Chlamydomonas reinhardtii: one gene and its partner. The protein of the gene in region 1 interacts with the protein of each later gene in a pairwise test. Links are inferred from orthologs where the notes say so. Each region holds a gene or a part of one and is shown in the gene's direction. Other genes may lie near its edges. The genes, in order: CHLRE_06g258100v5 and CHLRE_02g110400v5.

The links.
Region 2: the proteins of CHLRE_06g258100v5 (region 1) and CHLRE_02g110400v5 interact in binary tests that used the Arabidopsis thaliana proteins (3 or more experiments, as listed by UniProt). The link is inferred for Chlamydomonas reinhardtii from reciprocal best matches to the Arabidopsis thaliana genes SAC3A and EER5.

The regions. Positions count from the first base shown.
Region 1 is NC_057009.1:1,263,054-1,267,471, reverse strand, and holds the start of CHLRE_06g258100v5 (uncharacterized protein), read left to right. Parts: upstream 1-1,599; 5' UTR 1,600-1,850; intron 1,851-2,016; 5' UTR 2,017-2,020; coding exon 2,021-4,345; intron 4,346-4,418. Other genes in the region: CHLRE_06g258150v5 (uncharacterized protein), read left to right, coding at 1-570, 1,069-1,193. UniProt on the Arabidopsis thaliana protein: Component of the TREX-2 complex (transcription and export complex 2), a muliprotein complex that functions in docking export-competent ribonucleoprotein particles (mRNPs) to the nuclear entrance of the nuclear pore complex (nuclear basket).
Region 2 is NC_057005.1:5,745,753-5,750,215, reverse strand, and holds the start of CHLRE_02g110400v5 (uncharacterized protein), read left to right. Parts: upstream 1-1,656; 5' UTR 1,657-1,892; coding exon 1,893-1,950; intron 1,951-2,186; coding exon 2,187-2,379; intron 2,380-2,723; coding exon 2,724-2,775; intron 2,776-3,031; coding exon 3,032-3,145; intron 3,146-3,394; coding exon 3,395-3,505; intron 3,506-3,685; coding exon 3,686-3,792; intron 3,793-4,010; coding exon 4,011-4,143; intron 4,144-4,331; coding exon 4,332-4,463. Other genes in the region: CHLRE_02g110450v5 (uncharacterized protein), read right to left, coding at 311-385, 557-613, 694-832, 1,041-1,177, 1,332-1,430. UniProt on the Arabidopsis thaliana protein: Involved in the regulation of ethylene response. Probable TREX-2 component required for nuclear RNA export.

The DNA.
Region 1 (4,418 bases):
AGAACGGCTTCGAGCTCATCATCTGCTCCCCCGCCGTACTAGCTGTGGACGCGGCGTTAACGCTGGATGGCGACCGGCAGGGCGTGGCGCGAGTGGTGGAGGCCCTGCAGGCCCACATGTGGCCCAACCTAGAGCTTCTTGACAAGGGCAAGGAGGCAGCCGCCGCGGGTGGTGCCACTGCCTTGGAAGCTGCTGGCGCCTCCGGCAACGACGACGTGGAGGAGGATGCGGACGCGGCCGGCAGCGGCTACACGGCGTTAGGTGGGGAGGACACAGCGGCAGCAGCGGCAACATCAAGCAGCGGGCTTGATGCGCCATCTAAACCCCAACTCACCTCAACAGCACGAAACGCGGACGCCTCTGCCACCGCCAACGGGGGTTCCAAAGCGGCGGGCGGTGAGGCCGGCAAGCCAGCAGCAGCAGCCCCGGCCATTTCGGAAACCGCACCTATGGGCGCCGCACCAAAAGCCGGGGGCCGGCGCGACGAGGAGGTGGAGGACGAGGAGGCGGAGGACGAGGAGGCGGAGAAGGTGATGGAGGGGCTGGAGAAGCTAATGGAGGAGATGCGGGGTAAGTCACTGTTGTGTGGTGGTGGACGAGGGGGAGCGCTTGAGCAGCAGCTGGGGCACGTGTTGGGTGAGGCACACTGGGCTCTTGGAATCGCCTCATGGGAATGCCCTCGGAGCTGTGCATGGCACGGAGCTGCTGGCGTCATGGTGATGCGGCCATCAGGGCACCATGGGCCGCGCTCACGGTGATAGCTAGGACCGGGCCCTGATATACCGCTACCGCTCATGTGGCGTCCTCGGCGCCGCGGCAACGGCAGCAGTCGGAGCGGAAGGCGGCTATGGCGGTCGGGGCGCGCGGAGCCCGTACCGGGTGGTGCTGAGCCGGAGCCATGCAGCCAACTTCCTTGGCCCACGTCACCTACCCCCTCCCTCCGCCGCCATGCAGCACCGCATCGCATGTTCACATTTGCAGGTGTCCATGTTCCTGCGCACCGCTGGATCGCCGCTGCCGAGGTCACACCTGCGCACGGCGCTCTCGCTGTGCCCCCTTCCTGCACAGGCCACAAGGACCGCCTGGGCGTCATGTCGGACGAGGAGCGGCGGGAGCGGGCGGCGGACCTGGCCATGCGCATGATGGCCATGATGGGGATGGAGGACGGCGAGGACAGCGACGATGACGAGTAGGCTCGTGACCTCCGGGTTTGGGGCTGCGCTTTGTTGGGTTCGACCGGACTTGTCGGTCGGCATGGCTAAGGAAGTGGGCAGCTGCCCGGTGGAGATTTGACGGGGCCGGCCTGCAGGTGCAATCCGGGGTGGAGTGTGGCCTGGAGTACGATACGGTCCGCTATGGGGTGGCGCTCGTGTGCGCAGGGAAGGAATGCACGTGTATGCGCCTGCAGTGCGTGCGATAACCCGCAAGCAGACGAGTTTTCCTGGGGACCGATGAACATCAGACCTGTAACAGTTGCAAAGGGCCTTCTTAGGAAGCTGGCTAAAGGTGCCATCGAGGGCCTAACCAGCATGCATGGGCGTGGCTGGCTCTCGCATTGAACAACATGCTGCCCAACTCCGTGTCTGCCTACTTTCCACAATACAGTATACTCAAAAGGACCAGCATAGTTGTAGGAGTCGCTAGGTAATATATCTTCTGCTCAGAGGGCAACTCCTTGTAACTTCGCAAATCCCCCTGCGTTGCGTCTTCGGACTCTGGATTGGCAGCGCACAGTAAACGCATTCCTCATAGCATCCATAGTGGGCCGTTATGGGCGTCAGCTGCACTTAACTGGCCGCACCACTGCTGACCCACGAATCTTCAGCAGCGAGGCACCCGCTTCGGACCAGGTGGGCGTTTCTGGTTGCTTTGTTTGTCCGTTAACTCCCCTTGCTGCCTTTGGGAGGGCTTGGAGCCGTTTCGGCGGGGCTCTCAGATTCGGCGCCGCGCCCTGTCACTGTCAGTCCTCTTACGCCTCGGAGCCTTTTTCAACGCTGTCTCATTGTTGTTGTTCAGGTAAATGGCGTATCAGACGGCTGCGCCGCAGACTGCGTGGGGCGCCGCAGGCGCCGGAGCTGCCCCGGGAATGTCCGACCCTTACTATGCACAGTATTACGCGGCATATGGTTATGGTAATGGTTATGATTACTCGGCGTACTACCAGCAGCAGGGGCAGGCCTACGCTACCGGCGCTGCTCCCCCGGTCGCGCAACCTCCGCCAGCACCCCCGTCCTCGCCTCCCCCGCCCGGCGCGGAGCCGGACAAACCAGCTGATGACGAGAAGCCGCCGCCACCTCCACCAGGCGGACCGCCACACGCTTCTGGCACCGCCAGCGCCAAGCCCGCGCCAACCGCGCCCCCGCCGTCTGCACCTGCGGCCCCAGGTGCGGCTGCAGGCGTGACGCCCGGTGCTGGCTCGGCCGCAGGTGCCGCGGCTGCAGCCGCAAACGGCGGCTATGACTCTGCAGCCTACGCACAGTGGTATGCGCAGTACGGGTATTACGGCTACGACCCGCAATATGCGCAACAGTATTGGCAGCAGCAGCAACAGCAGCAACAACAGCCGCAGCCGCAGCAGGCCTATCCCTCCCAGCCAGGCTACCCACAGCCTAGGCCGGGCGTACCGCCTCCGGCGCCGCCTAAGGGCGACCCGCCGCCGGGCACGGGTGGCAAGCCGGTCCAAGCCGCTGCGGGCTCTTCCAAGCCCTACTCTGGCGTTGTCGACTCGTACAACGCAGCGCCGCCGCCCGCAAACCTGTACGGCCACCAGCAGCAAAACGGCCACCAGCAGCAAAACAACCGCAACCAGCGCACCGGGCTTACAGGCACCAACATGACACCGATAGGGCCGCGGCCGCCGCCCGGCGACCCGCCTGCGTCTGCCACTGGGCAGCAGCAGCTCACGCCACAGCAGCATGCGGCCGCGGTTGCCGTGCGCTTCAGCCGGGCACCGTTTGTCATTCGCCCACAAATGCCCACCGGCCGGTCCGCCGCCGCGCCCGCTTACATCGGCGTCGGCGGCGCCCCCTCCACCGCCGCGCCGGGCAAGACTGGCGTGGCCGCTGCCGTGGCGGCTGCGGCGGCCGGGGCTGCAGCTGCGGCCGCAGCCGCCAAGGCCGGCCCCGCCGCCACAGGCGGCCCCGCGTCGGCGGCAGGCGGCGGCAACACGCAGTGGCCTCCCAGCTTCACGGCTTGGGTGACGCGCTGCTTCAACGCGGCTCGGCTGCGGGGTGTGCCGGACAACCGGTTGTCTGAGAAGCTGATGGCGTACCTGGACCAGGTCAAGTCCGAGGGCCGCCTGTGGACCACCGACTGGGACACGCAGGCGGTCATGCTGCCAGACGGCGCGGCAGCTGGCGGCGGCGGCGGTGCACCGGGCGCTGACGGCGGCGCGCTGTCGCCGTCGGGGCCGCAGGGCCGCAAGCGCAACCGCTGGGGCGACGTGCCGGCGGGCGGCAGCGCGGGCGCGGGCGATTACCGGTCGGCGGCCGGCGGTCGCGGGTATGAGCGGTCGCAGGACGTGGACTCGGATGAGGAGGACTACGGCCAGTACGGGGGGCAGCACCACCGCCACGGCGCGCCCTCGCCGCACGGCGGCGGCCACCAGCACCTCAGCAACCGCAAGCGCAAGAAGCTGCTGGCGCTGGAGGCGCGGCAGCACCAGCGCGGAGGCGCGGCGGCCAGCCCGCACGGCCACGCCTACACCACAGCCGAGGAGCAGAAGCGCCGCGCGCGCGCCGGCCGCTTCGGCGACGGCCGCGCCGCCGGGGCCGGCCGCTACGGCGGCTCGGAGTCGGACGACTATGACGATGACGACTATGAGGATGACGACCGGCGCTTCGGCGGGGGGCAGGTGGTGGTGGGCACCAGCAACAACCTGGAGAAGTCCTACTTCCGTCTCACCTCGCAGCCCGAGCCGTCCTCGGTGCGGCCGGAGCCGGTGCTGTGTCGCGCGCTGGACCGGCTGGTGCGGCTGATCGCGTCGCGCGAGGCCACCTACTTCTACTCGCTGGACCAGTTCAAGGGCATGCGGCAGGACTGCACGGTGCAGCACCTGCGCAACGCGCTCACGGTGCGCGTGTACGAGGCGCACGGCCGCAGCAGCCTGGAGTACGGCGACGTGGCGGAGTTCAACCAGTGCCAGGCGCGGCTGGGGCACCTGTACGCGGACGGCGTGCCCGGCTGTGTGGCCGAGTTCACCGGCTACCGGCTGCTGTACGAGACGGTGCACGCCGCCACAGCGGGGCGGCGGCACGCCGGCTCCATGACCAAGGCGCTGCTGCACACCATGCGCAACGTGCCATCGGAGCTGGCGGCCGCGCCCGAAATCCGGCACGCGCTCAAGGTGCGTAGGGGCTCAGGGGTTGGGGCTAAGAGCGCACGCCGCACGGGATGAGTGACAGCGCGAGGTGAAAAGA
Region 2 (4,463 bases), on another chromosome or scaffold:
GCTGGCGTCGGTGGGCTGTAAGCGGCGAGAAACGCACTGTCGCCTGCCGCCAGCCTGTTTCTACAAAAAGAGACGCGCGGCGAGTGCCATCTTGCGCCACGAGTGCGAGCACGCGAGGCAGCAGCACGTGCGACGGATCCGACCAGCTGCTCAAGAGCTGCCCGTAGCCATCCTGGCCTCAGCTGCAACCCCAGCTTTACAGTCTATCCAAACCTACGGCCAAAGACCCCCACACGACACCCCGAAAGACCCCCACACGACACCCCGAAAACCTGCTCCACTACTCTCCCCTCCCCTCCCCTCCCTGTACCTCAATATAGTCCATGCCGCCTGAAGCGCCGGACAGCAGCAGGTCCAGCGAGTGCACGCCCGTGAACTTGGCCACCTGGCGGTGCAATGTAGCGCGCCAGCAGGGTAGCGCACGGATGCGTCATCCGGCTTCAGTGGACGACCGCTAAGGCACATAACGTCACACGGCAGCCCCCAAAAGATTAGTAAACGTTGCAAGCATATGTGAGCCCCCAAGCCTTTAACAGCTGCCAACACGTAGCCGCACCTGTGTGGGGTACTCGATGATTCCGCGTGCGTCGCCATCTACCGCCAACTCCCACTCCTGCACGGTGACCGCCGGCAGCATCAGCAGCCACTCACAAAGCACATCAAGCAGCATCCGCTCGTATCATGCACGCGCACCTGTACGGGCGCCGCCTGGGCCGCGGTCCCAAAGTCCAGGTCGTCTCGGTTTATGTAGGCCCGCATGCGGCCGGGAGCCGTGCCAGGCGGCCCCCGCGCGATGACACTGATAGCCTTCAGCTTAACCGAGCCATCAAAGCTGCGGCGCACGACAAGGTCATGCAAGACATTGTGAGGTAGGGAATGGCGCACATTTCACGCCGGTCGCTTATCGGCATCTACTCCTGGCGAGCGGAGACGACGCGCCCATCTGTCCTGCGTGCGCAGGCGTGCATGCATTGAAGAACCCCAGCCCTGAGGTGCGGCAGCAGCCCTCCCGCCACCAGGTTGCGGTGCCTAAAACTCACGGCACGTGTATCAGCACCTCCTGCTCGTCCTCGTCTTCATTGCTGCGCAGCGGCGTCTCCACCGCGTCGAGCCGGGTGTGCCACGGCCGCAGGATGTTGCGGCAGGAGCCCACGGACGCCTCGTTCAGGCACCGCACCTGCACGACGCGTACGAGCAGGACAAAGGGCTTTTCCATTTGCTTTTTACAATGGATTAGATGTGCGTGAATGCAGGCGTGTTGCTGCGGAACGCGCTAGGGTTGGAAGCGGCTTTGCAGCTACCGCGTGCTGGCACGCCCCTTCCCTCCCGACCTGGTCCACCGCCACGTGTTTGTAGAGCGAGTAGGCCACGCCGCAGTCAGCAGCCTCGCAATCATGGTCATGAGCACAGCAAGCTTTGGTCGGGGGCATGTTTGGCGAAGAGACCCCAAAAACGCCAAAACAGTTGGGAATCTGTCTTCAGCTGCAGCTGTTTAGACCGAAGGATGTAACCTAACAAGTGAGATGCACAAAGTATAGGACAAAGCACGCGTTGAATAACTACACAAGCCGATTCGCCCGAACCTGGATGCTGCCAATCCCCAAAGCGCCAGTATGCACCTGTTCAGTGAAACCTTTCACGTCCTTTTACGCTGTACTGTACTTAGGAACTAGGATCGCCCTACTAAAGCTGTGAACGCTTGCAACGAAGGTCGTCGGCACGAATTCCTGTGTAGAACCGGTTGGACAGTATTGGCCGCCTTGCTGGCGTCTTTACATGACACAATACCTGTACAAGTAAGAGTCATCTTAGACTGGGCGCAGGGCTCGGCGCCATTTGTGCTGGCCATCTCGCACCGGCCCTGCGCGGTGTGACGGCTGAGGATTTAGCAAATGGCACAGCTCTCCTCATATGCGAACGAGCTGGCGTCAGCCCTGCGGCGACGGGAAGGTCGGTGCCGGCAGGCGTGTTTGGGGGATGGACACGGCTGCATACCAGGCACTCCTGTCACGCATACCGAGCCCCGGGAATGGGGCTTTCTGGACTTCCATCGGTCTCGGCAAACGTAGTGCCCTCAGGCGCTAGCCTGCTCTCCGCTCCCGGGCCTTTTTTGCCCGCCATCGCCAACACTCAGTGCCCCATCCCCGCATTGCACCACCCCGCTCCCCACGGTTCGCCAACCCCAGGCCGCCAAGCCGCGGGCCTGCTGTCGCTGAGCTCCAACGCCGGCCTGGTGGCACGCAACCTAGCGGCGTCCGGGCGGCCGGTGCCCAGCAGCGGGCCGCTGGCGGCGCTACCCGAGGGCTGGCCGCCGCTGGTGTCCGCCTACCTGCGCTGCATGGTGGCGCAGAACAACGGCGAGCGGGCAACCGCATGCAAGTGAGTGACTGGATGTAATGGTGAGGGAATGCAGGAGCGGGAGCGGGAAAGGGGGCTGGAGGAGGGGTAAGGCGCGCAGGGAGCGAGCTGACCGGGATCGTGGCTTGAGGGCCCTGCGTGACGGAGTACAGCGAGGGTAAACGGGAGGATGCTGCGGTATGGCTGTGGTGATACCGTAGATGGCAAGTACCGGGTGCTGGTGCTGGGAAATGTCGGTGTGGCTCGATTTATGTTGCGTGGAGTGAAGAGGCCTGGCCCCCCATCACCGCCACCAAGCATATATGTGCTTGCCTGGTGTGCATGCCTATGTAATGCACGCCCCTCCTGCCTGCATCTGCGCACAGGGAGTACCGGGAGTATGCAGACGGGCTAGCATCCATGCTTAATGCAGACAAGGTAGGTGGCTGGTGGGCAAGCCGTTAGGCTTTGCACTGGTTTCAGCATTGGGTTACCAAGCAGTCTTGAGGTGCTCGGTGCCTGAGCACCCATGCGCGTATTTGTACGGTAGACCTCATCGTACTTGGAACCGCGGTGTATGCCACTAAAGCCAAGCATTCAGTGCTGGGGGCGCACGTTACCGTGGCTTGCATGAACTGGCGCGGCTGGTTGACTGTGGCCAAGTCCTACCCGTTCGCCCCCCTGTCTGCTGCAGGGCGTGGAGAGCGAGTGGATGATTCCCATTGCCCTGGGGGCGGCCTCAGCGCTCAAGGTACTGAGCGAGCTGGCCGACGAGGAGCTCAACCGCAAAGGGCTCACAGCAAACATGGTATGTGGCAGCTGTGGGCGGTTGGGGCGGGACGGGCAGTCTCAACTTGCAGTTTGGCTTGGGCGCGGTTGCGCGAGTCTCGTGCGGATGCTGCAGCACTGGCCGGCACCCGTGCATCCTCAGCTGCATCCGCCTGGTCTGTCACGGCACTAGCCTCGCGGTGTCCCGGGCGGGGGCGGGCCACCCGCGCATGACGCTCCCTCAAGCCACCTGACCTAACAATCCCCTCTGCACGTGTCATCGTCGCAGATGTCGGAGTGCGCCATCACGCTGCAAGCCTTCTTCCGCGGCCTGTCCACCAGCAAGTCCAGCCAGGTCAAGAAGGACGCCAGTGTGGCCATCGTGTGCGTGATGATGAAGGTGGGTGCGGAGGTGCGGGTGCATGTATGCCACGTGCTGCCGGACTGCAGCTGATGTTGCATGCTCTAATGGCTGTGGCGCTCATTCAGAGGCTTGGTTTACGATGTGAAGTGCAGGACCCTGCCCGCCCATCCCGACACCCCGCATCTGCTGCGGCTGTGCTCACCGGATGCGCTGCAGGTGTACTTCAAGCTGAACGCCATCAATAACTGCAAGCAGCCGCTGCAGCAGATTGAGGTGGCGAGGCTGTTCGACAACGCCAAGCAGGCGCACAAGGTGACGCTCAGGTAAGCAGCAGCGCAGCATAGCATGGTATGGCAGACGGATGCCGCCGCCCTGCTATCACCGTATCTTCGCGCCTCTGTGTGCATGCCCTGGCTGTCGCCGGCAATCCTCTGGGGCCCTATCCCACCATGCCGTCCCCTACTGCTTTTTGCTCCCTTACCTTCTTTTGTACGTTGGTGACGGTATGGATTTTGGAAACAACCCCTCTCATCACTACCAGGTACTACACCGGGCGGCTGGCCGCCTATGACGAGGACTTCCAAAAGGCGGACGAGCACCTGAGCTACGCCTTCGAGCACTGCCTCAGCGCCGCGCCCAACAACCTGCGCCGCGTGCTGCGCTACCTCATACCCGTGAGTAGTCGCCTGTCGGGCTGCCGCAGGGTCTTGCTGTGCTTTCTCCGGTTACCCTGTAGAATGCAGCTGCTCAACTGGGCGAATGTGGCAGAGCAGCGGACAACACGAGGGGACGCCCACAGCGGTACTGGTAATTCCTATTGTGCCGTTACCACCGCGTCGCCGCCCTGCCCTCCGTCCCACAGGTCAAGATGCTGTTGGGCGTGCTGCCGCGTCCGCAGCTGCTGCAGCGGTACGGCCTGACCGAATACGAGCCCATCCGCCAGGCGGTTGCAGGCGGCGACCTGGCGCTGCTGCTCAAGACGTTGGAGGAGAAC